6 linked regions of the Oryzias latipes genome follow. The protein of the gene in region 1 purifies or fractionates together with the protein of each later gene. This does not show direct contact. Links are inferred from orthologs where the notes say so. Each region holds a gene or a part of one and is shown in the gene's direction. Other genes may lie near its edges.

Region 1 (5,339 bases):
GCCCGGTCACTTCAGTCTTCTTGAGAGAATTCTTTGATTTGATTCTTCAACAGCTTTATTTTAAGTGCGTAATACTCCTCCTGCAGCTTGAGAACTTTGTCTTGTCTTCTTAGTACAGACATTTCCAGATTAAACTTCTCCTGCAGAGCAGCAGGTCTGCAAATTGGTGATGAAGAAGAAGAACAAGGGCTTTGGACATTGGAATCGGTACAGACATCCTCATGTCTCGCTGGGGAGGTGGGAATCTTTGTTGAAGCCGTTTTATAGTCTGGAGTGATGGTTTGATCTGGATCTGGATCTGGATCTGGATCCGGATCTGAAAGTTCTACCTCTATCAGCGCCTGCTTGCTCGTGCTCTCCTCTGTTGTTGAATTTCCATCTTCAGCATAGCTGCAGGATGAAGCAGAAGATATTCAATGATCAATTTAGAGTTAATTCCAAAATTAACACATATAAAAAGAAAATTACACTTCAATTCGAAACTCCAATCCTCTTTTGATCTATTTTCATAGCGTTATTATCTATTAATTATGATTTTGCCGTTTTTAGCCTAAATCAGAAAACGTGTGTCGTTGACTAGGACATAGTTTCTGCAGAGCAGCATGAGTTAATTTGAAATTCCCCTTCCCATCACACCTTTGTTTACACACTCTTTTGCTAGCTTACAGCCCCTCACACCCCCAACCTAACAGTCGTACAGTTTTGAGCCAGATTCCGGCTTGGACGTACATGGATATATTTATCTCCAAGTGGATGCATCTCTCATCTTTCTAAGTAGGAGAACTTGCACAATTGGTGGCTGACTGAATACTTTTTTTTTTTGCCCCACTGTATGTCCTCCATCATGAAAAAAATACCACAAGAACATGTAAAAAACTCGCACAAACATGATTTTCATCCTTAAAGAAATAGGGGGGGGAAAAAGTGTTGCCTGTTTTCTGGATTTTCCGCTGGATCTGCGTCACGAAGTTTCTTCTGTTCCTGCATCTTCTTCTCCGAGATGTTCAACACAGAAATAACTATCTGTGTCACGGCACTAAGTTTCTCAAATAACATCTCTTCTTCTGCAACATTAAAAAAACAAAAGTTTGCTATTAGTCAGAAATGCACAATGTTACTAAACTTAAAAAAGAAAATGCATGTTTCCTGACCTTTGTTACTCTGTCGTTTTATCTCCTCCCTTGCCTTCGCAAGGAGGTTTTCCCACTTTTTGTTGCAGTCGGAAACTGTGCGCTGGACCTGTGGAAAAGCATCATTAATAGCTTGGACTATCTCCTTCCAGGCATGCCTCTTGTCTTGAACCGATACTCCGGTGCTTTGCTTTCCTCTGACTATGTTCTGCTTTTTCTGTATTAACTGAGCCAGAAGAAGGCATTCCGGGTCAGTCCAGTTGGGTCTTCTCTTTCTGCTGGTGGAGCCCTTCACTGGCTGTGGAGGCATTTGTCTGCGAGGAAAACACATAAAACAACCATTAATAGAACGTATTAAACAAAATAGAAACTCATGAAAACCCTTAGATTTTTCTCAAAATGATATTCCCCTTAACGCTTCTAAAACCCTATAATTTCAGATTAGTCCTTTTCTGTTATTGTTTTTCCATTATATACAACCTAATTCAAAGTGAAACAGTCAAATGTTGAGTTTTGGTTAAGTTCCGTGTTGATTTAATGGGAAATCAAATCCTAATCGGTGCAAACCTGTTTAAGGCTTTTCCTTTTTCCCCTTTGAGGGAAAAATCCGCTGCGGCGTCTCATGTTGATGACGTCACCGGTCGATGACGTGTCGCCTTGTTGACAGCGGCGCGTGCACAGAAATGGCTGTGGACATCACTCTGCTTTTTAAAGCCAGCGTGAAGACAGTGAAGACCAGAAACAAGGCGATAGGGATCGGGTTCGACTCGACGAAAGATGAGATTTTCAAAAGAAGCAGAACGAAGAGCGGCTTCACCCAGAGAGCGAAAGAAGTGGTGAGTGCTCCTCTTAGCTAGCGATAGCATGATGATGATGATGATGATGCTAGCTCATTTGAAACGATAAAACTTCTCTACAAACATTGCCTTTTATATGACAAATGTACACACCACTACTTTTTCTTTTAAAAACGTATAAGTACAACCATTGTTGGCTGTTTTTAAGTCGTTTAGTACCCCAACTGTTTAATTTTAAAAAAGTTGCTGCTTTTAAATTAATACCTCATAAAAAACATAAACTTGACCTAATTTTTTTTAATCTACAGACTTTGCTGTGCAATTACTGGAAATGTGAGCATTAATGAATGTAGCACTAGTTTTTCCCTAAAAGACTACACGTTTTTTAGATGAACGTAGTTGAAAAAAAAATCTTGAGCGATTGATTGATGTTATTAACAGACTAACTACCCTGTAAAAAATACTATAGCTAAGATACAGATTTCATATAAAATAATATTAATTTGAAATCTTCATCAATTATATACATGTAATTAATTTTAAATACATATCTGTGTACCTGTATGCCTGTTATGATGATTGATAAAAGTGGAAAATCTAATGTTTCAGAGGACGATTAGTCATTTTGTTGCATTCAAATAACAAATAAATGTTTACATTTGTTTCCTTATGGGAGCTTGAAATCATTAACACCTGCAACAATAAAATAATTTCCTGCAATGAACGCACCAACACAGTGTTTGTGTCCGAATTCCCACCCTAACCCCTAACTACTGCAAAACTATATAGTGACCTGAATTTTCAAAGCAATTCGGTCACCATGCTCACTACTGGAAATTCAACTGGTTAAACAATTTTACACTTAATCGCAGTCCTGCAACCAATCTGAGACTCGGATTTAGTAGTGACATGAGGGTGGCGTCCGCCACGGAAGTACCAACCGTTGTAAACATGATTTCGAAGGAGACAATAATATTTGCGGTTTGTGTTCGGACTCCAAGACGGACATTTACAGGAACAAAGCTGTGAAAACAAAACGTCTGGAGCAAGATTTGCGGGATTTTCACAGCTTTCACTTTGCACACTGAGCCTCTTCCTATTACAGGTGGTAGACAACAGTAAATACGCAGAAGAAGAAGAAGAATCTTCTCCCTTTCGCTACCTGCATGTCTGCTGCTTTTCCCATGTGGACAGTTAACAGTCGACATCGTTGAATATCAAGCTTGTCTACTTCAGCTTTAAAAGAGTCATAAAAAAGAGCTAATTTTGACTTTCCCTTACGAAAAAATCTGAGACGGAATTTATTAAAAATTATTTTCTCAATGCATTCATTCATCTTCTAATCTGTTTGATCCCTTTCGGGGTCACGGGGCTGCCAGAGCCTATCCCGGCGTCTTGCGGCCGAAGGCAGAGGACACCCTGGACAGGTCGCCAGTCTGTCACAGGGCCTCAACCACTCACCCATGCACACGCACGTTCACACCTATGGACAATTTGGAGGGACCAATTAAGCATGTTTTTAGATGGCGGGAGGAAGCCAGAGTCCCCGGAGAAAACCCACACATGCACGGGGAGAACATGCAAACTCTACACAGAAAGGTCCCCCATTGGTGTTCTGTTTCTGGTCCCCCAGCCGGGACTTGAACCAGGACTTCTTGCTGTGAGGCAAGAGCGCTATTATTTTCTTAAAGCAAATAAATAAAATATCATAAATTTCAGAAGGCCTGAGCAGCTGCGGCTGCTCTCTCATCTGCCCCCCCGTCAGCCTCCTGGGGGTCGGTGCAGTGGGTGGGGTCACTTCAGCCCCATGGGCCCTGCAACAGACTGGCAACCTGTCCAGGGTGTGCCTCACCTTAGCCCAACAATAACCAGAATGTGCTCTGGCAACCCTGCAGCCCCAAAAGCGATGTAGCGTGATAAGCAAATGGATGGTAGATCAGGACAAGGCCGCTTGGACCGATCCTCCACAGTGGATTTTTACTCCACCCCTTAACACATCAAATGGGTGAAGTGACACCTCAACCTCGCCAAAAGTCAGATTTTTTTTTTTACTCTGGATGCGCCACAACACCCAAATCGTGCTGCGACACTCAAAACGCACTGCTGCCGGTCTGCCTCGCTGCGCCTGACGCTACAATCACGCTGCCGGACCTCAGATCAAGTCTGTACATTGGCTTAACATTGTATGTCGCCCCCATTATAATTGCGTTCGGTGTGATAACCATCTTCAGAGTTATGGGTCTTTGAATCCAAATTCTGGATGTTCTAGACTTGGTGTAGGTCAGTAAAGAACACAGAAGGCGGAGGAAGTTGACAGCATGCTGAACATAAACTTTTCTCCAAATTTCCAGCTATAGATTAATATTCCGATAAAGACTAGTTTTTGGTGAAGAGTTTAGAAGACATCAGTGTGCACCCGTTTTTCACAGGGCAACACGGCCTTTGCTCTGCCCCAGCAGTTATTTATCTGACTTAAGCAGATGTCTTCAAATAAAACCTTGAAGAACCACTTTCACATTTCCCACGGGGGAGTAAAATCTTAAATGTCACCAACCATCAGCCTGAAGACGACATGAGAAGATCTGCACCAGCCACGTTTTGGTCGTGTACTTTTGTAGCGGCATTAAATACGGCGGTTTAATAAAAGCTCTGCTGCTGATTCAATAGAAACTCATACCTACCCTGTGGTGCTTGGCCTCTGGCCCCCCTCACCCCGCTAACCTCCCGCTGTCTCCCTCATGCTGGAGCTATCATCTCAGACCATCTCACTGAACCGTTTTTATAGAAATTGAAGTTGCAAGTCTGGAATGCCTCGACTGTTTAAAGTTAAGTCGCGGTTTTCATCCACCTCTCTCCAAACTTTTCTGTCCGTTCTTCTCTATACGCCCTGACATTGGGCAGCTTTTTTTTTTTTTTGCCAGCGTCGCCTTTTTCCATGTATGATTCCAAAAACACGCTACAATAACATTTTCTTTCGGCTCTCAAACAATTTCTGGGGAAAGCCGATCCTCCCAAGAGCCAGTGATTAAAGGTGGAAGATCAAAACAGAGAAAATATTAAATTAGGTCCCCAGTAACAATGTTGACGGTCGGCACCTAATGCAAAACAGATGTGAGTGCCCTTCAAGACATGCATGGCTCTCCTTCCTATGTTACCATTGAGGCTTTGCAAAAATGGAAGGAAAAAATCAAAGTTGACAAATACGCAGTGGTCTTATGAGACTTTTCTTTTTTTCTTCTTCTCAAAAAGTCAGCACAGCAAGAGAGGAAATGTAAGTTCTTTCAAAGACGAGGTTTTGATTGACTAAGAGGACCAGTGTTTGCAGGATGGGCTTTGGCCAGGAGAGTCTTTCACCTCATAAGGGCTGGTTTTGGGGCCACTGGGATCTCCATTTCACCGCTCACCTCCCCAC
Region 2 (4,735 bases), on another chromosome or scaffold:
TGAACTCCTGCTACTCTACAGAAAGTATGTCCTAGAAAACGAGTCTTTTTTAGATTTCGGCTAAAAACGGCATCATCATCATTAAAAGACCACTGGGAACGCTTTGAAATCAGATCAAAAGATGATCAGAGTGAGACTTAAAAGGAAATTTTTCAAATTAAATCTTTTTCCTTATTTAAACCAATTTCTTATGCTTTCAGACGTGTTTTATGAAATTAAATACAAATCTTAAGTTTCTCTGCTGAGAGTAATAAAAGCTTTTCCAAGTGTTATTCCATTTAATAATGTTCGTGCATTTTAAATGGGGTCAAATGGGGGCCGGTTTAGCTCGTGCTGGGTTGCGGCACCTTCCGTCCGTGAAACCAGGGTTCAAATCCAGGCCGCTCCCTATTCCCCTCTCTGCTGCTGTGCCGGTCCCAAGCCCAGTTGGATTGAGAGGGGTTGCGTCAGGAAGGGCATCCGGCATAAAAACATTGCCAAGTTAACCATGTGACCTTCCTCAAGGGAGGGTTGTTTCACTGTGGCAACCCCTGATGGGAGAAGCCAAAGTAAAAGAAGATTTTAAATGGGGTCAAATGAGGATCAACTTAAAGTCCCACTCTGATTATTGTTTGATCTATTTTCAAATCGTTCTTTTCCAACTGTCTTTTAATGACGATTTATCTTTTTTTTTATAGCCAAAATCTAAAAAACTCATTTTCTAGGACATAGTTTCTGCAGAGCGGCAGGATTTAATTCGAAATTCACCTCTGAGTTGTGGGCGGGACTGTAAGCGCAGAGGTAAGCCTCTGCTTATATCCCATCATCCCTTTATTTAGACGCACTCCCGCTAGCTTACAGCTACCACAACTTTAAGCTAACATTAGCGATGCAACAAAAACGGTGAGCTATATCGTAGCAATCCAGTCGTGAAGTTTGGATCCACATTCCAGCTCAGACGAGAAAAACAAAGACGTTCATGGATCTATTTGTCTGCAGGTGGATGCATCAGAATGGAGCAGAACAGGGAGACTGTGGCCCCGCCCATTTCTCTATCTACGCCAGAACTTAGAGCTTTTTCAAAACAAAATTTTTTCATATGCTTCTGATTGTCACAATTTGAATAAAAAAATACAGTTTTAATCTTAAATTTTTTTTTTATATATGTCCTCCATCATGAGAAAGAACATGTTAAAAACGTCAAAAACACCATTTTCAACGGAGTGGGTCTTTAAAGTGAATTAAAAACCAGATTAGAATTTGAAAAACAAAATTAAGTTTAATAAACAGTTCCAAATGTAAAAGTAGATGTTGTATACTTGAAATAGATATTGAAAAGTTGAAAAAAAAGTGCATTTGAAGAAATACTGAAAACCAGATGAAAGACTAGGGTCTGAAGTGGCGTACTGTAGTGATGATGCTCCCCCAAAATGTGGTTCATCAGAGGAAGGACGGCACAGGCGGCGCCAACAACAGACGCTGTTGCGTCACCATAACCTCTACCACCAGATGTCAATCATAGCCAATGGGCTCAAAGCCCCACATCCACATAAAATTAGGCTCAACTCCAAAAATTCTAACTTGAGGACGGAACGTGAAGAGGAAGAGAAACGAAAATACAAAACAGCAGCTGTTAAAATAAAAATCATTTTCTTTTGGCAAAAGTTTAAGGATTCTAAGTTTCCAGTATTTACCAGAGATTTACTTGGAAAGAGCAAGAAGGATCCAGTAAACTCCCTTAGTGCTAAATGTATTGCTTTCCTAAAGTAGAAATGCGGTATTTTTTGTAACTGCATGTCGCCTTTGCAGCATCTGCAGGAGGCGTCGCAGTGGATGGAAGATCTCAGCCGGGTCTTCAGCCAGGTTGATCTGATAGAAAGACCCATGAAGTACCTGCAGTGCCTGCAGCACATAGAGGAACTCAGGTATTGTAAACATGGAGGCTTGTGGCCCCTGACCCCCCCATAGAGGTCTCTGTGAAGGGGGGGGGGGGGGGGGGGCTGTGATGGCTCAGCAGTGAGTGTGTCTGTGTGTCGCAGTGCTGCAGTCCAGCAGCGCCTGATGGTCAACAGCGTCTGTGAAGCCATAAAGGTAGTGGACCAATTGGCGGCGCTGGACTCTGGACTCAACCACTCCAGCTGTTCTCACCTGCAGAAGTTCCTTCGAGAAACTCTTTGTTTCTGGCACAACATCATCAAGGAGCGCCTGAGCAGGTCGGCCCAGTCCACCTTCACGTCCAAAGGCTCACTTCTGGGATGTTAAAGACTGAACACCTCTTTGCTTGTCTTCTTAGTGAGTTTGGGAAGGTTCTGACTCAGCTTCACTGGCCGATCATCTCGCCGAACCAACCGTTGAGTCCTGCTGCCAACTGTCCGGACAGCAGCAGCCAGCTGGAGGCGCTGGTGGCTCAGCTCCTCGCCCTACAGGCCTCGTATCCTTCCACAAAAAAACATGTCTGGCTGCTCCCTCTAGGGGGCGCCACAAGAAATCCTCCAACTCTCTTCTCTTCATCCTTCTCACTCACTCCATCCATCCTGATGTCTTCCTTCTCCGTGAAACTCCTCTTTGGTCTTTTTCTAGACCGGGGGTGCCCAAATCCAGGCCTCGAGGGTCAGTGGCCTACATGTTTTCCAAACAACCTGCCATTGAAGCTCCTTATTGGCTAAACACACCTGATCCAGGTAATCAGCAGCCGATATGGCAGGGTTTCTGGAAAACCAGCAGGACACTTAAGTTATGGAATAAAATTCATCTCAGAGTCAAAACTGGCGCCCAGATTTTTCACATGCTGAGGCGTTTTGTCAATTTTTAGTTTTGATAAAACAATCTCTCTCTCTTGCCTACAGAACCAATCACTAAAACATCTGTTTTGTCCTGGTTAAGCTGTAGTTCTCTGCCATCCATGACTTAATGTCTGAAATGCATTTTAAGAGTATGTTGATTGACTCTTCGTCATCAGGAGACAAAGCGATGCAGAGTTTATAAATGCCACGCCTCCTGATGATGTCCCCAAGTGGCAGCATATCTAGATTAAAAAGCAGTGGGTCTCAAATTGATCCTTGGAGGACCCCACAATTGATTTCAAAAACCTTTGAGGAGCATGTATCCATACTTACATAAAAATTTCAATCTGTGAGACAGGAATAAAACTACTTCAGAATGGTTCCAGCTATGTCTAAACACCTCAGCCTGTCAAGTAAAATACTGTGATCTACTGTGTCAAATGCAGCCCTCAGATCCAGTAGTACCAGGACTGAGAGTTTCTGGCAGTCAAGGTTTGATCTAATATCATTTACTATCCTAACAAGGGCCGTGTATGTGCTGTGGTTTCTCCTAAAACCAGATTGATACTTTTGAAAGATGTTATTTCTGTTTAAAAACTCATTGAATTCGATTAAAACTGTCATTTTATTTAAAACTCCACTTTACCAATTTACTTAAAATGATAAGTTGGATACTGGTCGTAAATTTTTATAGTTGTTTGGATCCAAATGACTCTTCTTCAGAAGAGGCCTCACCACTGCCGTTTTAATGCAACAGGGAAGACACCTGTCTGAAGTGAGTCATTTACTATATTTAAAAGCTCAAACTCAAAGAATTCATAAAATGTTTTTAACAGTGATGTGGGGATTAGGTCTAAAAGGCAGGTGGTTGGCTTTAACTGGGAGAAAACATGACCAAATACCACAGCATCAACCTGGACAAAACTTTCCTGTGTTTCCTCTGATGAATACAATGCTATAGATTCATTAAAAACAACACCTTTTTGAGTTAAAAGACTAGGTCTAATAGCATTGATTTTACTCCTGAAGTGGTCTGCAAAACTCTCACAAATAGCATCTGATGTTGGTATGGAGGACCTCTGAGAATCTCTATTAGCTATAGTATCTATTGTTTTAAAGGGAACTTTAGGGTCATTTTTGTTTTGTATAATTAAGTTTGAGTAGTGGAGGGTTCTAGCTTTTTTTATTGCATGACTGTACATTTTTTGCTGTTTTTTAAAAATGTAATGATGAACAGTTGATGTACAGGGGGTCTAAGAGCAGGGATGCCCAGTTTAGTTTAGTCTTTTTAGTTTAGTTTAGCCATTACCCATTGAATTCTATGACTTTATTTTGTTACCGGTATTGAGACGACTATTGTTGTAAATACTGGGCTATATTAATAAAATTGAATTGAGTTGAATACAGTTCATTTAGTTTTACTCCACTGCCTCTCCGCTCCCCTGCATTCACGTTTCATGGCTCTGATGGCTCCGTTTCTCCAGGGTGCTGTAGCTTTAGTTTTCACCGTCTTTGACTCAGGTGGAATTACAGCATCAATGTCTGACTGTAGTTTGTTGTTAAAATGTTCAATCATACAATGCAGGTAAAATCTGAGCGGGAGTTTGGTGTAAAATATTGATCAAATTTGCAGCCACATCAGGAGTTATGTATCGTTTCCTCACAGTTCTCTCTGGAGCTTCATGTCGAGTAAAACTAGTGATATTAAAGAATACGCAATAGTGATCTGAAACAGGCATGTCAACAACAGAGGACACACTACAGACCATAGGTAATTAGTGTGCCCCCTGTTTTTATCTCCCCTGGTAGAAAATAAAAAGTAAATTTTAGTGGGGAAGCCTCAGTGAGAACAACAGGAGCATCAGTACCAAGCCAGGTTTCAGTAAAAAAAAGGCAATCTAAGTTGTTATCTAAGATGAGCTCATTCACAATAAAAGATTTATTTAAAAGAGAGCAAATGTTTTAAACAGCAA
Region 3 (4,735 bases), on another chromosome or scaffold:
AATTAAAATTTTCTCTCCATTTGCTGCAGTGCCAAAAGACCCAAACCCACAGTGGCGACGGATGGCGTGGAGCTCTGACTGCACGCTGCTGGCCTACTCCGACAGCACTGGCACCGTCCGGCTGTTTGACCTCATGGGCGGCGAACTTTTTGTCATCCCCCCGGTAACCAAATAAACCTCTCCTTCTAAACTATATTTGTAATAAATTTTAATTCTAATGAAAGCATCAGTCTTATAATTCTTGTGTTTAACATCTGAGGCAGCTCTGATCTTTTCTGTGAAAAGATGTGTTTGTTCAGCACCTTGGAGTAACCACAACCTTATAAAGATGTCTCCCTTCCAGACGTCCGGCCCCCTCTTTGTCTGTCTCACCTGCTTTTTAGGCCCCTCGTCTTCTTTTCCCTTCTCCGCTCTGTGTCTTGTTCTTCTAAGCGCCGTCTTCCTCACCTCACATCGTAAATTTTTCACGAGTGTTCTCCCCAAGTCTTCCCTTTATGCCTCGTCTCACACACTCTACTCTTTCTTCCAAGCTCCAAGTCCACATTTTAACGCCATGTAAGCTCCACATATCATTATTCTACCATTTTCTGTCCATTATCCTCTTGCGCCCCTCTGTCAGACGCTCGTCCTTCTCCCCAGACACCCTTACCTTTTGAAAGCCTCTGATCGTTGTTCCTTCAGCGCACTTCCTCTTTGTTGTGTGTGTGTGTCTGCGCAGAGTGTGTTCGCACACCTACATCAGTGCCCCTCAGCAATACTTTACCCTTCCTCCTGTTTGTTACTGCCTTACTGCGATTTCAGGGGGATGAGATAAAAAAAAAAAGATGAGTCAGTTTTGCAGTAGAGGTGCATAAATGTAGGTTTTCCAATGTTCAACCTTCATCTTTCTTGTTTTCTATCCCTATTTGACTTTTCTGATTTATTATTCTTCACACATTGCCCCCTTCTTTTTTTAATCTTGTTACGAGAACTGTGAACTTAAACTGCAATGAACTCCTCTTCTGTCCTTTTTCTCATCCAGGTGGTGAGTTTTCCCGGAGATTTCAGTTGTGCAGTCGCAGGCCTGATCTTCCTGGAGTACACAGCCAGCGCTCAGTGGTCAGCTGAACTTCTTGTGATCACATACAGTGGAGGGCTTAAAAGCTACTTAGTCAGGTGAGAAACAAAAGCGTGTTAAAACTCGTTTAAATAACTTATCTAGCTGTGATGTAACTGCACAATGAAAGCAAATTTCCCCCCCTTTTTCCCTCAAAATGTCTCCTTTCTTTGATTTGGCTTAATGCAGGGGTCTGCAACATTTCAACACGCCATTCAGATCAATTTCTTAGTGACCACAAACCCTTTAAGAGCCACAAAGTCTTACGTCAGCCTTTAGAAAAATAAGACACTGCTTTGGATTTGAGTTATTGTTACTCTGATGATAAATACAAATTAACCAATGAAACGTAAACATGAAGAAAGATGGGCTTTTAAAAAATATATATAAAGCAGTTTATAACTTTTGACAGAGGCTTGCAGGACTTCCTTTCAAAATAAAAGACACACAGGATCATCTCAATGCTGCAAGTATAGTAGTGGGTAATGTAAAGTCAGCAGTGATAAAAAAACAACAAACTGTGTTTATTTTATAGTTTGTGGCACATCTCTGCCAGAATTTTGTAAATTGGAGCTAATTAAGCGAGTAAACTGCAATTAATGGATTTTGTGAAGGTCAAATTGGTTCAATTTATCCCTTTTTTTCAAGCCAGCCTTTGCATTAACTGTATAGATATTTTGTGTTGTCTCATTTTTCCTCTGCGATGACCTGATGACATGTTGAGGATGGACCCAGTTATTCGCCCGATGACGGCTCAAAGAGGCTCCAGTTTCTGTCACTTGAGAATCTGCACTACATGCCAAACTTGTCAATGTCAACCTGCCTGCGCTATGATTTCATTTTAAAACATTGAGCCTTTTCACTCATTATTTATATAGATTTTAGCTTTTCAACTGCAGCGAAGGCTTTAAAGAACTTTTAAATTCCCAATTGCGTTGCCTGTCAGTGTCCGTATCTTTGAGAAGTTTAAAATGAGTTTCTGCTTCATTTACAATTTAAATCGTTCAGCCTTTTAAGTAGGTAACATTTCAGCTGTATGCATGCCTACCTGTTTTTCAGAAAATGTGTTACAAGTAATTACCTCTGATATTATGCCATGGACAGGTACTCAAAGGCAATTTTTGCTCCTGACTTTTCCCATTTCTCCCCCGTCCATCGCTGAGCCACCGCCTGCTTACACAAGAGCACAGTAGAGTTTACTCAAGTCGGCGATGGCAGTGCTGATTAATGCTATGTGCTTGGAAATTTGCAATTATGACTCCCACACGTGGTCACAGGTTTTAGGCTTTACTGGGCAAATACTGAAATGTTACAAATGAGCCAAAACCTAATAAAAAGTGTAAAAAGCTTGTTTATAGAAAAAGAAAAGTTTTTTATTTTCTTACTGCCTTTTGTCATTTTGAGTATGTTTCTGAGCTGATTGCAAAGACTCAAACCCACCCTGAAGATTTGGATTTTCAAAATAATTTTAAATTAGATCACTTTTTATTTAATATTTCATGATATAAGACGAGAGCTTGGAGGTTATATGTTTTTTTTTCAAGGCGGATTTGCTGAAATAACGTTGTCATCCAAAGCCTCCCAAAGCTGACTAAAATCGGAAAATGCCCTGTACTCCAGAACCTCCCTTTAGCTGTAAATTCATGTCAGAAAAAGGGAATGAAAAGCTGATTTACTCTCTTAATTTCCACAGAAAGTGCATTTGATACCTCTGTAGCCATTTAAATGTCAGAGTTTGTGTGTAAAAGAGAAACTAGAATAAAGATAGATTTTTGTTGTTGATCTCTTTCTTTAGTGTGGGAACCAATCAGAACTTCCAAGAGAACCACACCTTCAACTTTTCCACCCACTATCCACATGGCATCACGGCAGCTGTTTACCATCCTGCACACAGGTATGACGGACAGCACAGATAGCTTGGTCTATATTTGCCAATCTAGTGAGCTTTGATTCACGCTGGGTTTTCGCAGAGACTTCTGGGAAATTTTTAGGGCACTCGATTTTGGATGTTTGGATTCATAGTGCATTATGTAGTGAGAAGTTGAGGACTTTGGACATAGCTTTGATGAGAATTTAAAGGGACGCCATCAGGAAGTTTTTCAGAGCTGTCATGTTCTAAAACTGCAACCTCCCTGGAGTGTCCATTAGTACAAAAGATCTAAAGCTCCACTCTGATTGAGGTGGCAGTAAGGGTCAGATGAGGTACTGTTATGGGCTGGAGTTTTATTTATTTTATTTTTTTTTAAGAGCAGCTATTTTTTCAGATTAAAGATGGATTTAAACCCAACTCCCAAGACTATTCCCACATTTTAGAAGTCTTTCTTCAAACAGCAGCGCAGAACAAAGTCCTCCTTCTTCAGGAAGACCACGATTTTCTATACAGGACAAAGCTCCATCTGTGCATCAAAGAACTCCACTGGGCAGCTTGCAAATAAAAGCCTCAAAGATGATAAAAAAACAAAAAAACGATCTTAATCTCAAACTGTGGGACCTTCTTTGAACTGACTGGCTGAACCTCATATACATTTATTCATGAAGTTAGTATTTTCACCTGAACAGATAAGTTAAGAGATTTTTTTTAACTAAGTTGCATAAAAAAGTAATAAAATAAGAAATCACTTTTAATATTTGTATATTTTTATTTATATTTAGTTATTTAATCAATTACTTAATTTATAGCTATTTTATTTTTTAAATGTCACTTTCAACATTTTTTTTATTTTATTTTTTATTTAATTAAACTTCCTTTTTTGTCTGTGTATTAATTTATTTCTGCTTTTATTTACGGTTTTTTTTAATTCACATTTTATTTATATATACAGTATTTTTAACTTCACGTTTGTTTTAATTATGTTATCACTTTTTAAAGCATTTTTATTGTTTGAATTTAATTTACTTGCATAAAAACTTTATTTATTTATGTATTACAAAAAGACCACTCCTGCTACTTTCAATATTCCGATTAGAGGATTATTAGTGTGGGTTGATTAGGGGCCCTCTTTTAGGGCCCTCTGGCCTTTTCTTGACTGTCTCTGTCTGCAGCTGTTGTCCCACAGACTCAACAGTGTTTCTGTTAGACTTGATCGTTCTTCAAATATTTCTATCTGGACATCTGCAGAAAGCTTTACAAGTCTTGAAATCAGTTTTCACCCTGAACCAGTCCGGAGACGACGGCGTGTTAGGAATTGTGCTCAACATTTAAATAATTATTTCACAAATTTCCTTCTCTTTCATCATTTTGACAACTGAGAGCGCTGTCGATTTGCTCTGTTTTATGTCGATTTCAGCGTTGGCGCTAAATGTAAGTTAACCTCATGAGAACTTCTAGTGGTTTTAATGCAGCCTAAAGCATAAACTGTTAAAGGATCAGGTGTTACCGACCAGAAAAAACTGCTGTTTTTGAGGAGAGTGAGAGGGAAATTGGGATTGAGCTACATTTATCATGTTGGAACTGAGATAAAGAACATGTGAGGTTTCTCACACAGACTCCTGCAGAAGGCTTTTTGCACTGTCCAATGAGGCCAAGAAGCTTACTCAGGAATAAATGAAGCAATCTCTTTAATGTAATACCTGTAGGAATTGACTGCAGCAGCGCCGAATGCCCTTGGCCTGTTTCACCACATTGTATTCATTGGGTTT
Region 4 (4,303 bases), on another chromosome or scaffold:
CAAAAACATATCAACAGCATCAAGAGTGTATGGGGAGGACTTGTCAATTATTTTAAGAGCAAACCAGAGACAAAGCCGCCAGCTGAGGAGCCAACGACCTACCAGGCCAATGAAAGGTACGCTTTACTTATTTCTTCTTTAGATTAGAAGTGCTTGTTGACTGTCATCATTTTACAGTTAACATTAATTGAAATCCAGAATCTTTTTAAATATTCTTACCTTACTTATTTAACATTGGTTTCAGCTTCTTATAAACACAACTTTCCTTTTCAGAGAATCCAACATGTCATTTACGTGTTTGGTGATTATTTTTACTCACTTCTAACACCTTTCAGGCTCAATCTTGTCCTACATTTACAGGAATAATATTCAAAACCCCCAAGACAAGAGAGTGATCTCTGTCTCAAATTTTAGTCTGTTTTTAAAAGTCTTAAATCAGTTTTGGGGGGAAAAGATTGACAATTCTGAAAAAAAATGCTTACAAAAAAAGCTTTATATTTCGAATAAAAAAATATTGTTTTGTAAAGTTAACTAATTAAAAATACATTTAATTTTTTTTCAATTTCTTAATTTTTTAAAGAAACTTTTGAATAAAAAAAAAGTTATCTGAAAGGCAGCCCACTTTTTTTAGAATGTTTTATTCACACTGATAGTTTCACATTGAAACAGTTTCACATTGACACCTGGGAGCTGCAAAGTGAAACTACTGTTGCTCCTGGGAGCTCTGAGTAGGAGTTAAGAGCCTTGCTCAAGGGCATTTTATTTTGTACACTGTGTTACCAAGACTACATTTGATTAAACCGAATCTGCTTTTGGAAAACTTACCATATTTGTTCATTACACCAGAATGCACAAAACATTTTCAAAAGCCAGAGTGGACTTGTTTTATTTTTACTCTGTACATCTTGTCTGTTCTTTAAGGAAGGTGCTTTCACTTCTTCCTACACACGTCCTTAAATATCAGCACAGCTACAGACGAATCCATGTAGAGAGCCCAACAGAAACATTATCAAACAAACCGCCTCTCACAACTGTTTACAAAGCAGTCATATACTCTGGATGGATGTAAAATATAACAATAAACAACAATAAAGTCACAAAAACAGTCACCTTGAGCTAGTATGCAAAAATGCAAGCTCTCCATAAATGTGAGCCAATGCTAGGTCAGATAAAATACCTCCTACTATGATATGATACTATTTTCTACTGTCTATATGAACGGTTTTGAATTATATACATGAATACTTTTTCTGTGGGTTATTTTTTAGGTTACAGAGCGCTCTGTCCAACAGCAGAGAATATGAAGACAAGTATCAAGCCAGCCACCCCAACCTGAGGAAACTGGAAACATCAGGTAAGGATGAACATGAAAATGTCAATGTTCAAACGTGTCACAGTACATCCTACATACTTGTGATCTTCGCTTCCAGGTTTTGGAGCTTCTTCCTCAGTAGATGGGGGTTTACCTAGACAGAATGGATACCCTAAGAACCAACACCTCAGAGAGGCTCATCAGACCCTTGACAAAAACTTGGGTAAGAAATCTAACAGGACACTTTGTATTTCGGTTATAGGGTTGAGTAATTTCTTAAAATGACATTTAAACTTCCTTTTAAATAAGAATGCTTGATCAACACGATGTGGTCTGCCTGAAAGGGCCTGGCTGGTCTCATTTGCAAGGGAACCCTGGTGTGGTTCATTACACTATGAATGCAACATAACACACTTTGTAGTCAGAGTTTCTTTCAGACAACACTGCACCCAAACAAGCAGCTGTTGCTGCATGATTTTTTGAGAGGCCTATGCAAAATCTATTTTTTGAGCTTTAAGTATATTATAATGTTCATTCCTTATGAAAAGAAACCCCAAACCGGTATTCTGATCCATTCAAGCATTTCTAAGTATTCCTCTAAAAAACGTTTCTCTGAGCACCAGCCCCTCCTTATCCACAAAAACGAGTGGGTTATCACAAGCTGACGAAGACCAGTGAGAGCTGCACCTTACAGGAGGAGTCTGGAGAAATGCAGACACGCTAGCGAGGCCGACTATAGGTTGATGTCATGAAATTTGCGGCACCCACAAGGAGCGAAAGGTGGTGCCTCAGAGACTGAGTCAATTTACTTCCAACTTGGAAAATTAACTTGCGAAAATAACTCGTATTTAATAAAAAAAAAATTGTTATTTTGTGTGCCAAAGGTAAAATATTATCATATTCGTGGGATATTGTTTACTATTAAAGTCTTAAAAATAGCATGGTATATGCCATTTACACAAGTGTTATATGTGCACATTCAAACAGTCCACCTTAAGAGATGTTCGTATTAGCAAATGACTGCAAACCTTACTAAACAGGGTAAACGCTGCAAAGAATAAAAAGGCTAAATTTACCCCAAAATTGATATATTTGTCATATAGTCTTAAAGTAAATGTAATGAGGTAATGGGGGTTAAAAGTGATTTTACACAGTGATGAATTGTGGGATATGTTCAGTTTTTTTGTTGAAAAAAATGTGGTTGAAATGTGACTTCTTTAACCACATCTGCTGTGATTGATTTAGATGAAATGTGTGGAGGCTTGCAAAGACTGAAGAACCTCGGACTTGGACTCCAGTCGGAAATTGACAGCCAGGACGACTCTATTGGTTCACTTCTAAGCAAAGTGGACATGATGGATGGGAAGATCAGTAACACAAACCAACAGCTTAAAAAGCTGTAGGACCCACACTCTGACATTTCCACGTCTGACCCTTCATTTCAGTTCAATTTACTGTCTTTTTTTTTTTGTCTTTGGAAAATCTTCTTTCACTCCTTTTTTTAATTTTTACAATAGATTTTCTTCATCACCAAGTTTTTGTCATTCAAAATAAAATGTGAAATATTTTACAGATAAAAAGGAAACCATCTGTTGAAAAAAAAGACTTGTTGTTATTTAATTTTTTAAAGATGTTCCTGATGTAAGGACAGATCCGGATCTGACCCCAGTTGATGTATAAAAAGAAAAACAAGCAGTAAACAAGCTCAAGTCACGTTTGCCTTACACGTACTTTCTTTGGTTTTGATTCACAGTTACATTTCATTTGATAAATTGTTCTATAAAACACCTCTTAAATATCAAATAAATATCTCAAATATTTTAGTTTTGATTGTAAACATAAGAGATGAAGGAAAACTTGCACCATTGGAATACAATGATTATTTCTCTGATTTTTCTTTTCTTTTTTTCTTCAGACAAATAAATCACAGTACTAAATTGGCCAAAATTCCTACATAAGTTCATGTTTGTGTGTAATCAAGCACAGATATCCAATAAAAGCTTAATCAAGGAACTTCCATGTGTTCTGCGAATACTTTTTTGACTAAAGTTAAAAAAAACTTTTGTGTTGATGGATTAGTGAGGTCAAATTACCACTAGGTGGCACTGTGGTTCAGGATTAAAAACTAAATGACCATCGTAAAAATCCTGGTTTGGTATTATTTATATTAAATGGCAAATTTCCCCAATAATTATAGTATAAAACGCAAAATTAGAAGAAAATTATTAGAAGGAAACAAATGTGTTTTAACTATTAATACCGGTAATTGTAATATCAAGGGGCATATTTCAAACCAACATCTGTGCTGCTTTTTGTTTTTAGTCAAATGAGCATCCGATGATGTGTGAGCGTTTAGTGTGATGAGCGCCTTCTGCTCATGTCCTCACGCAGAGATGATGTCCATTCATTATCATTCCTCTGCGTCAAACCAGCTGCTCATGCAGCCGCAACAAGCAGTCTTTAGCATGACTTGGTAATTACAGTTCAGGCTTCTTTGAAGGACATTTGAGTTGGGGGCGCGACAGAAAGGAAGATGGGGGTACCCGCTACCAGGGGCCCCTTGAGGCCCCCCGGGCATGTCTACACGAGTACGCTTTTTGTTATGCCTAATGGTTTTTCTGTTACACGTGTGATGGATAAGCATAGTAACTTGCTATTTAAAGAGTTTCTAAGCACAGTAAATTATACTTTTTATGAATTGAAACCCTTTTAAAGACAAAATTAGTTCAAAAAATTATTTTCTTTTTTGGTGGACCATTTGTTTGTTACTCTTTTGCCTGAATTCTGTGCTTTATGAAAGATCCTATTTGGACACGTGGTAATTTCTTATTTATTGCGGATTATAATGTCTTTTTGTGATTATTTCTTTATATTTACGTGCTCTTTCTCATATTTTGCACTTCTTTGGTTAAAATGATTGTTTTTCCTATCATGTTTTGGTCACTTTGCTACTTTAAAATGTTTTTTTTGTGATGTTTTGTCTCAACATTC
Region 5 (4,735 bases), on another chromosome or scaffold:
AGGGCCCCACCGGAGAGGGACGCCCACAGCCCCAGACGAGCACCCCACCACCACCCAGGAGTTCCGGGCATCCCCCCGCCCCGACCCCAGGTACGAGCCAGGACCCCCCAAGGGAGACCCGCTCCGCACTCCAGGCAGCCACCCACCCGGCCCACGGTTGGTCCAGGTAGGAGCAAGGCAGGGGCCCGCCGCCCCCGCCCAGGAGGGGGGAACCCCGGGGAAAAAAGGGCGGCCCATAAGGGATGTTATGAACATCCATCTTTGTAAAAGTTTGGATGATGTTTGTGGGCGAAACACAGACACACTGCCGAGGCCGACTCTAGGTTGACATCATGAAATGGGCGGCACCCACACGGAGCAAAAGGCTGTGCTTCAGAGTTCAAGTGGTCTTATTTCCAGGTCGGAAAAGACGAGACCTCAGGAAAATGACTAATATTTAATAAAAAATGTGTTCTTTGGTGTGTCAAAGGTAATTTATTATCATATGCATACTGTTTACTATGAGGCTTAAGAAATTTGGTATAGGCCCATTAAACCTTTCAGAGTAAACTATATCCGTATAAATGATAATATATAAAATGGCTACTGAATTGATTTCATTTGGTTGGAGCTGGAAGTAAGCCACTTTCCATGGGTGACATCACACTCACTTGGTCCAGTTCTCATTTACAGTCAATGCTTGAGACCACTAGCTTTTATTGAAGCATGAAGAATGACTAACAGCTGTTAATTTCTCTATAGAGGTCTATGGGATTTTAGCTTCTTGGAGCCAGCAGGTACTTCCTGTTTGGAACGTCATGGGGGGAGGGGTCACTCAGTCCAGTTTTTTCGATACAGTCAATGATATAAACCATTATGGAAGTGTGTTTGTGATGCTTGAATCAACAGTTCAATGCAGTGGTTGTAAAACTGGGGTGGTGCAGAGGCATCTCGGTGGGGGTGTGAGTCACCCGGTGGGACAAGGCTGGGAGGAGGGGGCCATATTTGGACGTCGGAATTCTTTTTGCGGTGAAACATGAAAGACCTCATATCCGTGGGTCTTGCATCACTTGCATTAACCTAATCCTAACCGTGACATTTGAAAACATAATTATTGTTGTTAACGGCGGTTCTAACGTCTTATAAGAACGGTAATGCCGTTGATGCTTGAGTTGATGATTGGATACCTACACCTGCCTTTCTTTCTTCTATACATTGCATGTATAGTGGATGTAATGCCTCCGCGCCTCCCAGGGTGGCGCCCCACAGGTTGACAACATACAAAGTGAATGATCCTTTATGTAATTTATTTATTCCTTGTATAAAGGATCATTCACTTTGTACGTGTCTTCCCTGCGAGGATTTTTCTTATTCCCCAGACAACAGAGCTCATTACGACTGGCTGCAGATCCATATAACGCAGCAGCAGCTGCTGGTTTGAGCTCTGCTGAGGAGGATCAGTTCAATGAAATCACTCAGACTCCACCCTGAAGGCCCGTTCACACCGGGACGAATTTCGCCGGTTTAACGCCTCGTGACTAAACAAAGGGCACCAATGTGAGTGTACACACCGACGCGAAAAAACGCCACGCGTCAAAGCGTCAAAAAAAAAAAACGCCTCGGGTTCGTTTTTTTTTTTCGACGCCTCGCGGCACGCGCTTGCACACACACACGCGGGCGCGCGGCTCCAGCACATACACATTCCTCTTCCACAACAGTGGGTACAGACGATCCCGACTCCATTGCCTTCTTAAAATGAGAAGATTGTAATTGTGCTGCTCCTTTGTGAAAATAAATTTAATATTACAAAAAGAGCTCCGCTTTTGACAACACTGTTGTTGACATCCATTGTTAACGTTGGCTCCGCAAACAACAAGTGACGTCGTTCACCGTTGAGTATTCTTCTGGCTTCTGCGCATGCGGGTCTCGTTTGGGTCGTGTCACGGTCACACTGGAGATCACTAAAGTTCGGATTTACTTGGAAATGTGAACGGTCTAGCAAACAATTCGGATTTTTTCAAAAAATCCGAATTGAGCATTAAGCCCTGCAGTGTGAACGTAGCCTTTGTAAGAGTTTCTGCTGTTGCCACTTTGAAATCAAAGAACAGAGCTATGCTCAGCACAACTTGAGAGTTGCAGTAACAAACCTGCAACCTGGTTTTGAAAAGAGGTATAGCACAAAGCACATTGCAGCCTTTAACACAATTTTGTGTTTCTTTTTTCATATAGGTTCAATATTATTCTTCTTACAGAGTGAACAATCCTTTATTTAATTGTTCTAGTCTCTAGCAGCAGGAATGTTTTGAGACGGTATTAAAGTTGAACATATTTGGCGTATTTTGTCACAGTTTTTTCGCGGTGGGGGGATGAACATTTTTCCCCCTCCAAAGGGGGAAAGGTAGAAAAAATACTGATATCCTAGATAGACATTTAAACACATGCTTAACCTGCATAGTCACACACAGTTCTGATCTTAAATAATTCTTTAAGGTTCTGTGAGAGAAACAGTCTGCTCTCTTTTGAGAAAAAACAGTTGGACCTTAAATTCCTGATCCTGCAACCTTGAGGGCTATAAAGGGTTTATTTTGCAGGAGTTGCTGGTTAGAGAAAGTTTAGTCCTTGTTCAAAATAAACAGTTTTTTCTCTCACATAAATAAAAGACTTTTATTAAGAAGTAGTTTAGGTTATAAAATTGTGCTTCGTCAAGAACGTTTGTCTGACTAAGAGAGAACTGGATTCTACTTTAGCCTTTTTCTTTGTGTCTGCTGTTGTCAAGCACATAAACTGAGTTGTTGTAAATACTCCAATGGTTTATTCCAAAAATACTTGTGTTTGGAATAGAATGGGTATTTTTAGATAACTCTCATCATTTTAGAAATGGGGAGTTTTGGGTTGAATTTAGCTGCAAGGTGTTTATTCAGAAGTGGTTTAATGTCTTTGTTTCCCACTCAAGGTTATCAATGAGCTGTTTTTAGCCGTGTTTAATAGAGCACCGTTCTGCTGTCCCTCTCCTCCTCCTCATGAAGTGACTCAGCGAGCTGTTTGCCTCACACAGAAATGCAAACCTCTGATGTGGGATAAACAAAGACATCCACTGTGTGTGTGTGGGGGGGCTAAAATCAGGGGATGTCCTCATGTTCATAGAAAATACTGCCTTATGTGTAAAAACCCTATGTTGGTGTTTGCATTGCCTATGAATCGTCACATGTTTGTGCTTGACTTTTCCATGTAAAGGCCACCTACCGTCCCTTCTTGAAGCAGATCCTGGAGGAGGTGTTCCGCCTCGACCGGTCTGAGTGTCCTGACATGGAGCATATGTCTGGAGGCCTGACAGAGCTGCTCAAGACGGGCTTCAGCATGTTCATGAAGGTCTCTTCACAAAATACACCCCATTTAAAAGGTTTTTTTTATCTAAGTAGAATTTGCTCTGTGGTTTTCAGAGCTCTGTGATTCTTGAAGAATGCAAGAACATTCTCTCAAAAAATAAGAAAAGATAAGTCAGTCAACTTGAGGAGGCTATTTTTCATCACTAACATGATCAGAAATTTCAAAAATTCTCCATTTTGTTTTTTTAATTCTGGAAAAACAGACATTCTCATGGTTTTTATGTGATCTCTTGCTTCTTTTTTTGTTCTCTTTTCTCTCAGACCTTTTATTGCTTTCAAATGCCCAAGTAGCGGAAAGGGACAATTATGGGTCATTTTCTAAAGTATAATTTCAGAAACAATAACAAATTTGATTCTGATTCTACAAAAAATAACAGAGGTATTTAAAAAAAAGATGTACATATTGACTTTAATCCTAAAAATCTTACCTTTTTCCAGAATTTTGACCTTATTTTCAAATATCTGACATTATTCTCCGGTTCTTACTTTCTTTTTCAAAACTTTTCTTAATTTTTTTCCCCCTTTTTTACGGTTTGACTTTGTTTTGGCAGAACTCCAATTTCTTTCTGAATTCTGACCAATTTAGAGAAAAATTTTTTATAGTTGACAGAAGTCTGGTCCCCAGCGAGAGCCGTCCCCAGAGTTCTAACCACACTACTACTTGGGGCGACAGTGGCTCAGGTGGGTGAGCGGGTCGTCCAATGATCGAAGGGTTGGCGGTTCGATTCCCCGCTCCCACCAGCCAAATGTCATTGTGTCCTTGGGCAAGACACTTCACCCTCCTTGCCTCCAGTGTGGCTCCACTGGTGTGTGAATGTGCATGAATGTCCCGGTGATGGTCAGAGGGGCCGTAGGCGCGAAATGGCAGCCACGCCTCTGTCAGTCTGCCCCAGGGCAGCTGTGGCTACAACCATAGCTTACCATCACCAAGTATGAATGAGGAGTGAATGAATAATGGACACAATGTAAGCGCTTTGGGTGTCTTGAAAAGCGCAGATAAATCTAATCCATTATTATTATTATTATTACAACTCCCAGCAACCCTCAGTGCTCCCATGAAGCCACACACCTGACTCTCTTCATCAACCATAGCTTACTATGCAAAGTATTGTTTGTGCCATTCTGCCTTCATTGGACCTGGTCTTCTGTTTCTGACTCTGTTTGCCTGCCGCCTGCCCCGACTCTTGCCTGTCAGCATGGGGAGCCGAGCCTTCAGCCACTCGGCCCTTGGAGTGTGGAACTCTCTCCCCTTGGACCTCCGTATCATTGACTTGTTACCTATCCTTAAATCCAGACTCAAACCCCACCTCTTTAAATCTGCCCTTCTTCTTTGATTGCCCATCCATCCGTTTTGCTTTTATTTATTGGTT
Region 6 (4,735 bases), on another chromosome or scaffold:
TTTGTTTTCATTCTGTCCCAGAGTTTCTCCATGAAAGGTGTGTTTTCTTAAACACAGATTTGTGTTTGTCTGCACGCGCTCAGTGGACACAGAACTCAGTGATGTGTGTGAATGTTTTTGTCAGCTGGGACACCGGAGGACAAAATGCGACTTTTCCTCATCTACTACATCACAGCTCAGCAGGCTCCCTCTGAGGTAAATCAGAACCCCACCCACATTTGATTTAACCCCACCCACTGTTGATCTGTTTCCACCCACTGATGATGTAACTCCACCCACCGCTGAGCTAACTCCGCCCACGGCTGAGCTAACCCCACCCACCATTAACGTACTCCACCCACCGTTTAGCTAACTCCACCCACTATCGTGCTAACTCTACCCACTGTCGATCTGACTCCACCCGCTATCGATCTTATTCCACCCGCTGTCGATCTGACTCCACCCACTGTCAATCTAACTCCACCCGCTGATGATCTAACCCAGTGCTTCTCAATTATTTTTTGCCAGGCCCCCCCTAGGAAAAGAAAATGTTTCGCGCCCCCCCTGACCCCCCCCCCCCCCCACACACACACACACACAGACACACTCGCGCGGTGACAATACATCAGGTCAGTATCTATAAAATTTGTATACCTAAAATTGTATCTTTTAACACTAACAAAAGAAAAAAGCAAAATAAATCCACTTTCAACAAATATTAACTTTATTTAGCCACAGAAACCCTGTTCTAGTCTAAAACAGAAAAGAAGCTGAAAGTACCTGAAATAAAAAAAATCTGTCATTCCTTATTTAAACTAGAAACATTTTGACCAACTGAACCATTTGATGCTGAAAAAAATAATTCAATCAATAAATAATATTAAATCTAAATTGATCTGAAACATTAACACAGCAGCACCAATATATTTAACGTTTTTAGTCTGAAGAAATAGGTAAAAACGTGCTGATTTTTTTTTTCTAAATGACGGATTGTTTATTTCTGATCTCATAAAAGTGCAGCTGTTTTCCTGCATTACCTGCTGTCTTTCTGTCTGTCTGAAACCAACTAAACCACAGGCAGACAAAGAAAACATGGATGGAAAATAAAGACACGTCATCAAAATGTCTACAATAGTTCATAAAGAATGACATTGTTAGCATGAGCTTAGGAATCTAAGGGCAGCGGTGATCTTGGGCAACAGGCAGCGGTAGCAGTGGTCCGCGTGCCCCGATTCCCCTGGCAGACAGGGCCCACACCACCCCTCCCCTTTCGTTCTCACTCGCGCAGCCGCGGACAGACAGAACAGACAATAGGAACCGAATAGTGGACCAGATTATTTTCCAAGCACTGAGCCGCTGTCACCGCTGCCCCCACGTTAAATTTGCGCACCGGACAAACCTGTGCCTAAAACCGCCACCACCGCGCGCCCCCCCTGGCATCGCTTCGTGCCCCCCCCCGGGGGCGCGCCCCACTATTTGAGAAGCACTGATCTAACCCATTGTTGAGCTAACTCCACCCGCTGTCGAGCTAACTCCACCCACTGTTGATCTAACTCCACCTACTGTCAATCTAACTCCCCCCTCTGATGATCTAACCCACTGTCGAGCTAACTCCACCCACTGTCGATATGACTCCACCCACTGTCGATCTAACTCCACCCACTTATATTCCTGTGTTCAGTTGGACTTGGAGCAGTACAGGAAGGCCTTGTTGGATGCGGGCTGTGACCTCTCACCTCTCAACTACATTAAACAGTGGAAGTAAGTTCCTGCTCTGATCACTCTGATGGTTCAGGGTTCTGATGGTGCTAGGCCTTTTGGGGGAAGGGGCAGTTAAATGTAACTTCCACCACAGATGAGGTTTGTGGTGCTCCTCTGTAAGGATCTGAGAGTTTCCACACCAAACTTCAGGCTTTAGTTCCACTCCATTTCATTGAAAGTCCAGTGGCGCCCCCGTCAGGTTAGTTGAAGACATTTTTACAGGTTGGACAGCATTTCATCCCCCGTTCATCTGGTTTTTGTCCAAAGACTCAGTTCTTAGATCGTCTTGATGTTCTGAGGTGGAATGTCATCTGCATTTCCCCCCTTAAGTAGAAGCTGGTTCCTCATCGGGGTCCATGTTGTGTCTCCACAAATATTTCAATATGGTGATTAAAAACACATTTTTAAACAATTCTCAGACATTTAAAGACTCGTCAAGACTCCATGTTTGATTTGGTTTGCTTGAAAGTTTTCTGACCCAGGATTTTCCTTTTTTTCTTGCCTTTACTGAAAAATATCCACCAATGGTGCTCGTTTCTTATCTTCCTGTGTTTTCTTACAGCTGTATGTTCGAACCCTCGTATCTGTAGAAGAGTCAATCTGGTCTTTTTTGTTTTTCAGAGCATTCACCAAAATGGCAAACCCTGCCAACTACGGAAACAGCGGGGTGAAACCCATGGGGTGAGTCCACCAGCTCCGAAGCCCTTTGAGCTTTTTGTCACAGAAATGTTTTCTTTGGGCGGGCCGTCGCTGAAGTTCAGCAGCATTTGGAAACGCGATCCATGAAAGCGCACATCTGTCCGCACAGCAGGAGAACGCACACTCCAGAAAAATAAGTCTGCAACCTCCCCAAAGGTCTGGACTACCAGCGTAACCCTGTTCTCCTCCTCATCTCTGTTTTTCCACTTCTCCTCCTCAGTCTCTTCTCCAGAGTGATGAACACCGGCTCCCAGTTTGTCATGGAGGGCGTGAAGAACCTTGTGCTCAAACAGCACGTGAGTCCAACTCAGTAGAACCTACTGGACCCCAAACGTCAGCTCAGATCATGCAAACACAAGCTATAAGTGATTTAAAAACAACCACATAGACTTAAATTGGTGGGTCCGTCCTCATTGATGGCTGCAAGAGAGCAGAGCCAATCAAACCACAGCAGTAAATTCACCTAAATGTTTTAATGCTAGCCTATTGATTGTTTTTTAATTTACATTTTTACATAACGGCAGTAAATGTACACAAAGGTTAAATATGCTAGCCCCGAGGTGGGCGAACTTTTTGACTCCTGGGCTACAAAGGGGGGGTTAGATTTGACAGAAATGCAGATGCATGGAGTGTTTTGAACATGTGAAAGAAATCAGATGGGATCTGGATGAAGACATGCTTTAGTTTTCATTGAAAAATAATGGACAGATTGTAAAACAGAACATTTTGGAGTTTTTAATTCCGAAATCGTTGCTTTTGTACCAGTTTAGTACCAGTTTGGATGTTTAGAGAATTTTAGAGGATGGGAAAAATGACCGTCCATCTTGGGAAAAACACACACACGAGCGTCGAAAAACATGGAATCGTCCGAAATTGCATGAAGGCTGAACAACTTCTATGCGAAAACACCAGAATTCCAGGGAAAATAGAGAATTTCTAAGGATAATGAATAGATTTGATTCAGTTTGGTGGCCCAGTGTAAGGTCATGAAGGTCAAAGGTCAAAGTATTCTGGACTGACCGAAAGCTGCTGAACTCAGAGCATTGAAGATCCAGAACTTCCTAAGCATTTAGAGAAGCTCTGAACTGAATTTCTTCAATGGAGTTTAGTCAAACTGGCAAATTCAAATGGCATTAAAGGAGGTTTTTTTTATCCAAAAAGCGTGTCTCACGGTGGATTTCTGTTCCAGAACCTCCCGGTCACTCGGATCCTGGACAACCTGATGGAGATGAAGTCTCATCCTGTGAGTCTCCGTCTGTCTGCTGAGCATGAAAATGCAAACCTGTTGTTTCCTGTCAAAATGATGTCTCCATGGAAGGGTTTAGAAGAGATTTCAGCATAAATGTTCAGGAAATGTTTCAAGATTTGTGCTCCCACAAGCTTCCAGTTCTCCTTAAGAACGGCTGGATTTTGGGAATAATGACCACGGAGGATGATTCTGAGCTTTAGGCAGGTCACATGCTCCCTCAGGCAGAACCTAAACCAGATTAGTTAGAGAAAAAGAGGCGGGTTGACCTGCCAACCAACCAGCTGCTGGGTCCTCACGCCCAGACCTCCGAAGGCGGAAACGAATGCGCTTTCTCAGCATCTGAGGTTACACGGCACAAACAGAGAGGCTGTTGTCGTGGAGATGGGGGGGGAATTCTCCTCCGGTCGGATTGCCTCCTCATAAAGCATAAAGGAGGTTCCGCCGGAGTCCGGAGTCCTGGTTTCTGATGTGCCTCACACCCGCATGGTTGGAGAAGAGTCCAGTTTGGCGGGAAAATGTTAGGTGTAAACACGGCAACAGGTCTGGTTCTGCAGCACAGAACAAATGTCTTCATTGAAACAGCAAATATTGTGACCAATGGAAATCCAGCCTTTTATAAATTGGGTGTGAATGCGATCAAAAAGGCGGCGCTTTGATGTTTAACTGTTAACATCTTAAAAAAAAATTTTTTTATTATAACTTTATCATGATATTAATGTTCGGCAGTATTCTTAGACAGGAGGACCAGATTTTTTCCCCACAAAGTTTTCTTACTCTGCCTTTAAGCAGTAAGAAAAAAAAAGAGGGGGAAAAATGATGACATCACAGTGGGAGAAACCATTACAAAAATGAATGGGGTCAAAATCTGTAATGGGGTTCAAAAGAAGTATTTCCACTAACGAAACCCAAGCACGCATGTCGGACACATCCAAAGGATTTTTTAAAAAGTATTATGGGATGGCCACAAGACCATTTGCCATTTTGTGGCAAAGTGTGAAATTTGCCACATTTTCCCACAACATGGGAAAATGAAACTTCAGTTCATGT

What was found.
Region 2: the proteins of stx18 (region 1) and rint1 purify together in Homo sapiens (co-immunoprecipitation; 6 studies listed by BioGRID and IntAct, counting the BioPlex papers as one, with this or other methods). This does not show direct contact. The link is inferred for Oryzias latipes from reciprocal best matches to the Homo sapiens genes STX18 and RINT1.
Region 3: the proteins of stx18 (region 1) and nbas purify together in Homo sapiens (co-immunoprecipitation; 5 studies listed by BioGRID and IntAct, counting the BioPlex papers as one, with this or other methods). This does not show direct contact. The link is inferred for Oryzias latipes from reciprocal best matches to the Homo sapiens genes STX18 and NBAS.
Region 4: the proteins of stx18 (region 1) and snap29 purify together in Homo sapiens (affinity purification with mass spectrometry; 3 studies listed by BioGRID and IntAct, counting the BioPlex papers as one, with this or other methods). This does not show direct contact. The link is inferred for Oryzias latipes from reciprocal best matches to the Homo sapiens genes STX18 and SNAP29.
Region 5: the proteins of stx18 (region 1) and scfd2 purify together in Homo sapiens (co-immunoprecipitation; 3 studies listed by BioGRID and IntAct, counting the BioPlex papers as one, with this or other methods). This does not show direct contact. The link is inferred for Oryzias latipes from reciprocal best matches to the Homo sapiens genes STX18 and SCFD2.
Region 6: the proteins of stx18 (region 1) and scfd1 purify together in Homo sapiens (affinity purification with mass spectrometry; 5 studies listed by BioGRID and IntAct, counting the BioPlex papers as one, with this or other methods). This does not show direct contact. The link is inferred for Oryzias latipes from reciprocal best matches to the Homo sapiens genes STX18 and SCFD1.

The regions. Positions count from the first base shown.
Region 1 is NC_019863.2:30,760,234-30,765,572, forward strand, and holds the start of stx18 (syntaxin-18), read left to right. Parts: upstream 1-1,758; 5' UTR 1,759-1,774; coding exon 1,775-1,966; intron 1,967-5,339. Other genes in the region: uncharacterized protein LOC101155681, read right to left, coding at 12-390, 932-1,064, 1,152-1,440. UniProt on the Homo sapiens protein: Syntaxin that may be involved in targeting and fusion of Golgi-derived retrograde transport vesicles with the ER.
Region 2 is NC_019881.2:11,291,688-11,296,422, forward strand, and holds part of rint1 (RAD50-interacting protein 1), read left to right. Parts: intron 1-1,788; coding exon 1,789-1,904; intron 1,905-2,018; coding exon 2,019-2,192; intron 2,193-2,272; coding exon 2,273-2,410; intron 2,411-4,735. UniProt on the Homo sapiens protein: Involved in regulation of membrane traffic between the Golgi and the endoplasmic reticulum (ER); the function is proposed to depend on its association in the NRZ complex which is believed to play a role in SNARE assembly at the ER.
Region 3 is NC_019882.2:14,748,928-14,753,662, reverse strand, and holds part of nbas (neuroblastoma-amplified sequence), read left to right. Parts: intron 1-29; coding exon 30-163; intron 164-1,021; coding exon 1,022-1,155; intron 1,156-2,891; coding exon 2,892-2,990; intron 2,991-4,735. UniProt on the Homo sapiens protein: Involved in Golgi-to-endoplasmic reticulum (ER) retrograde transport; the function is proposed to depend on its association in the NRZ complex which is believed to play a role in SNARE assembly at the ER. Required for normal embryonic development.
Region 4 is NC_019867.2:6,082,559-6,086,861, forward strand, and holds the end of snap29 (synaptosomal-associated protein 29), read left to right. Parts: coding exon 1-116; intron 117-1,268; coding exon 1,269-1,354; intron 1,355-1,430; coding exon 1,431-1,535; intron 1,536-2,557; coding exon 2,558-2,715; 3' UTR 2,716-3,325; downstream 3,326-4,303. UniProt on the Homo sapiens protein: SNAREs, soluble N-ethylmaleimide-sensitive factor-attachment protein receptors, are essential proteins for fusion of cellular membranes.
Region 5 is NC_019862.2:905,263-909,997, forward strand, and holds part of scfd2 (sec1 family domain-containing protein 2), read left to right. Parts: intron 1-3,213; coding exon 3,214-3,348; intron 3,349-4,735. UniProt on the Homo sapiens protein: May be involved in protein transport.
Region 6 is NC_019880.2:2,574,171-2,578,905, forward strand, and holds part of scfd1 (sec1 family domain-containing protein 1), read left to right. Parts: intron 1-124; coding exon 125-195; intron 196-1,660; coding exon 1,661-1,740; intron 1,741-2,361; coding exon 2,362-2,421; intron 2,422-2,659; coding exon 2,660-2,735; intron 2,736-3,628; coding exon 3,629-3,682; intron 3,683-4,735. UniProt on the Homo sapiens protein: Plays a role in SNARE-pin assembly and Golgi-to-ER retrograde transport via its interaction with COG4. Involved in vesicular transport between the endoplasmic reticulum and the Golgi.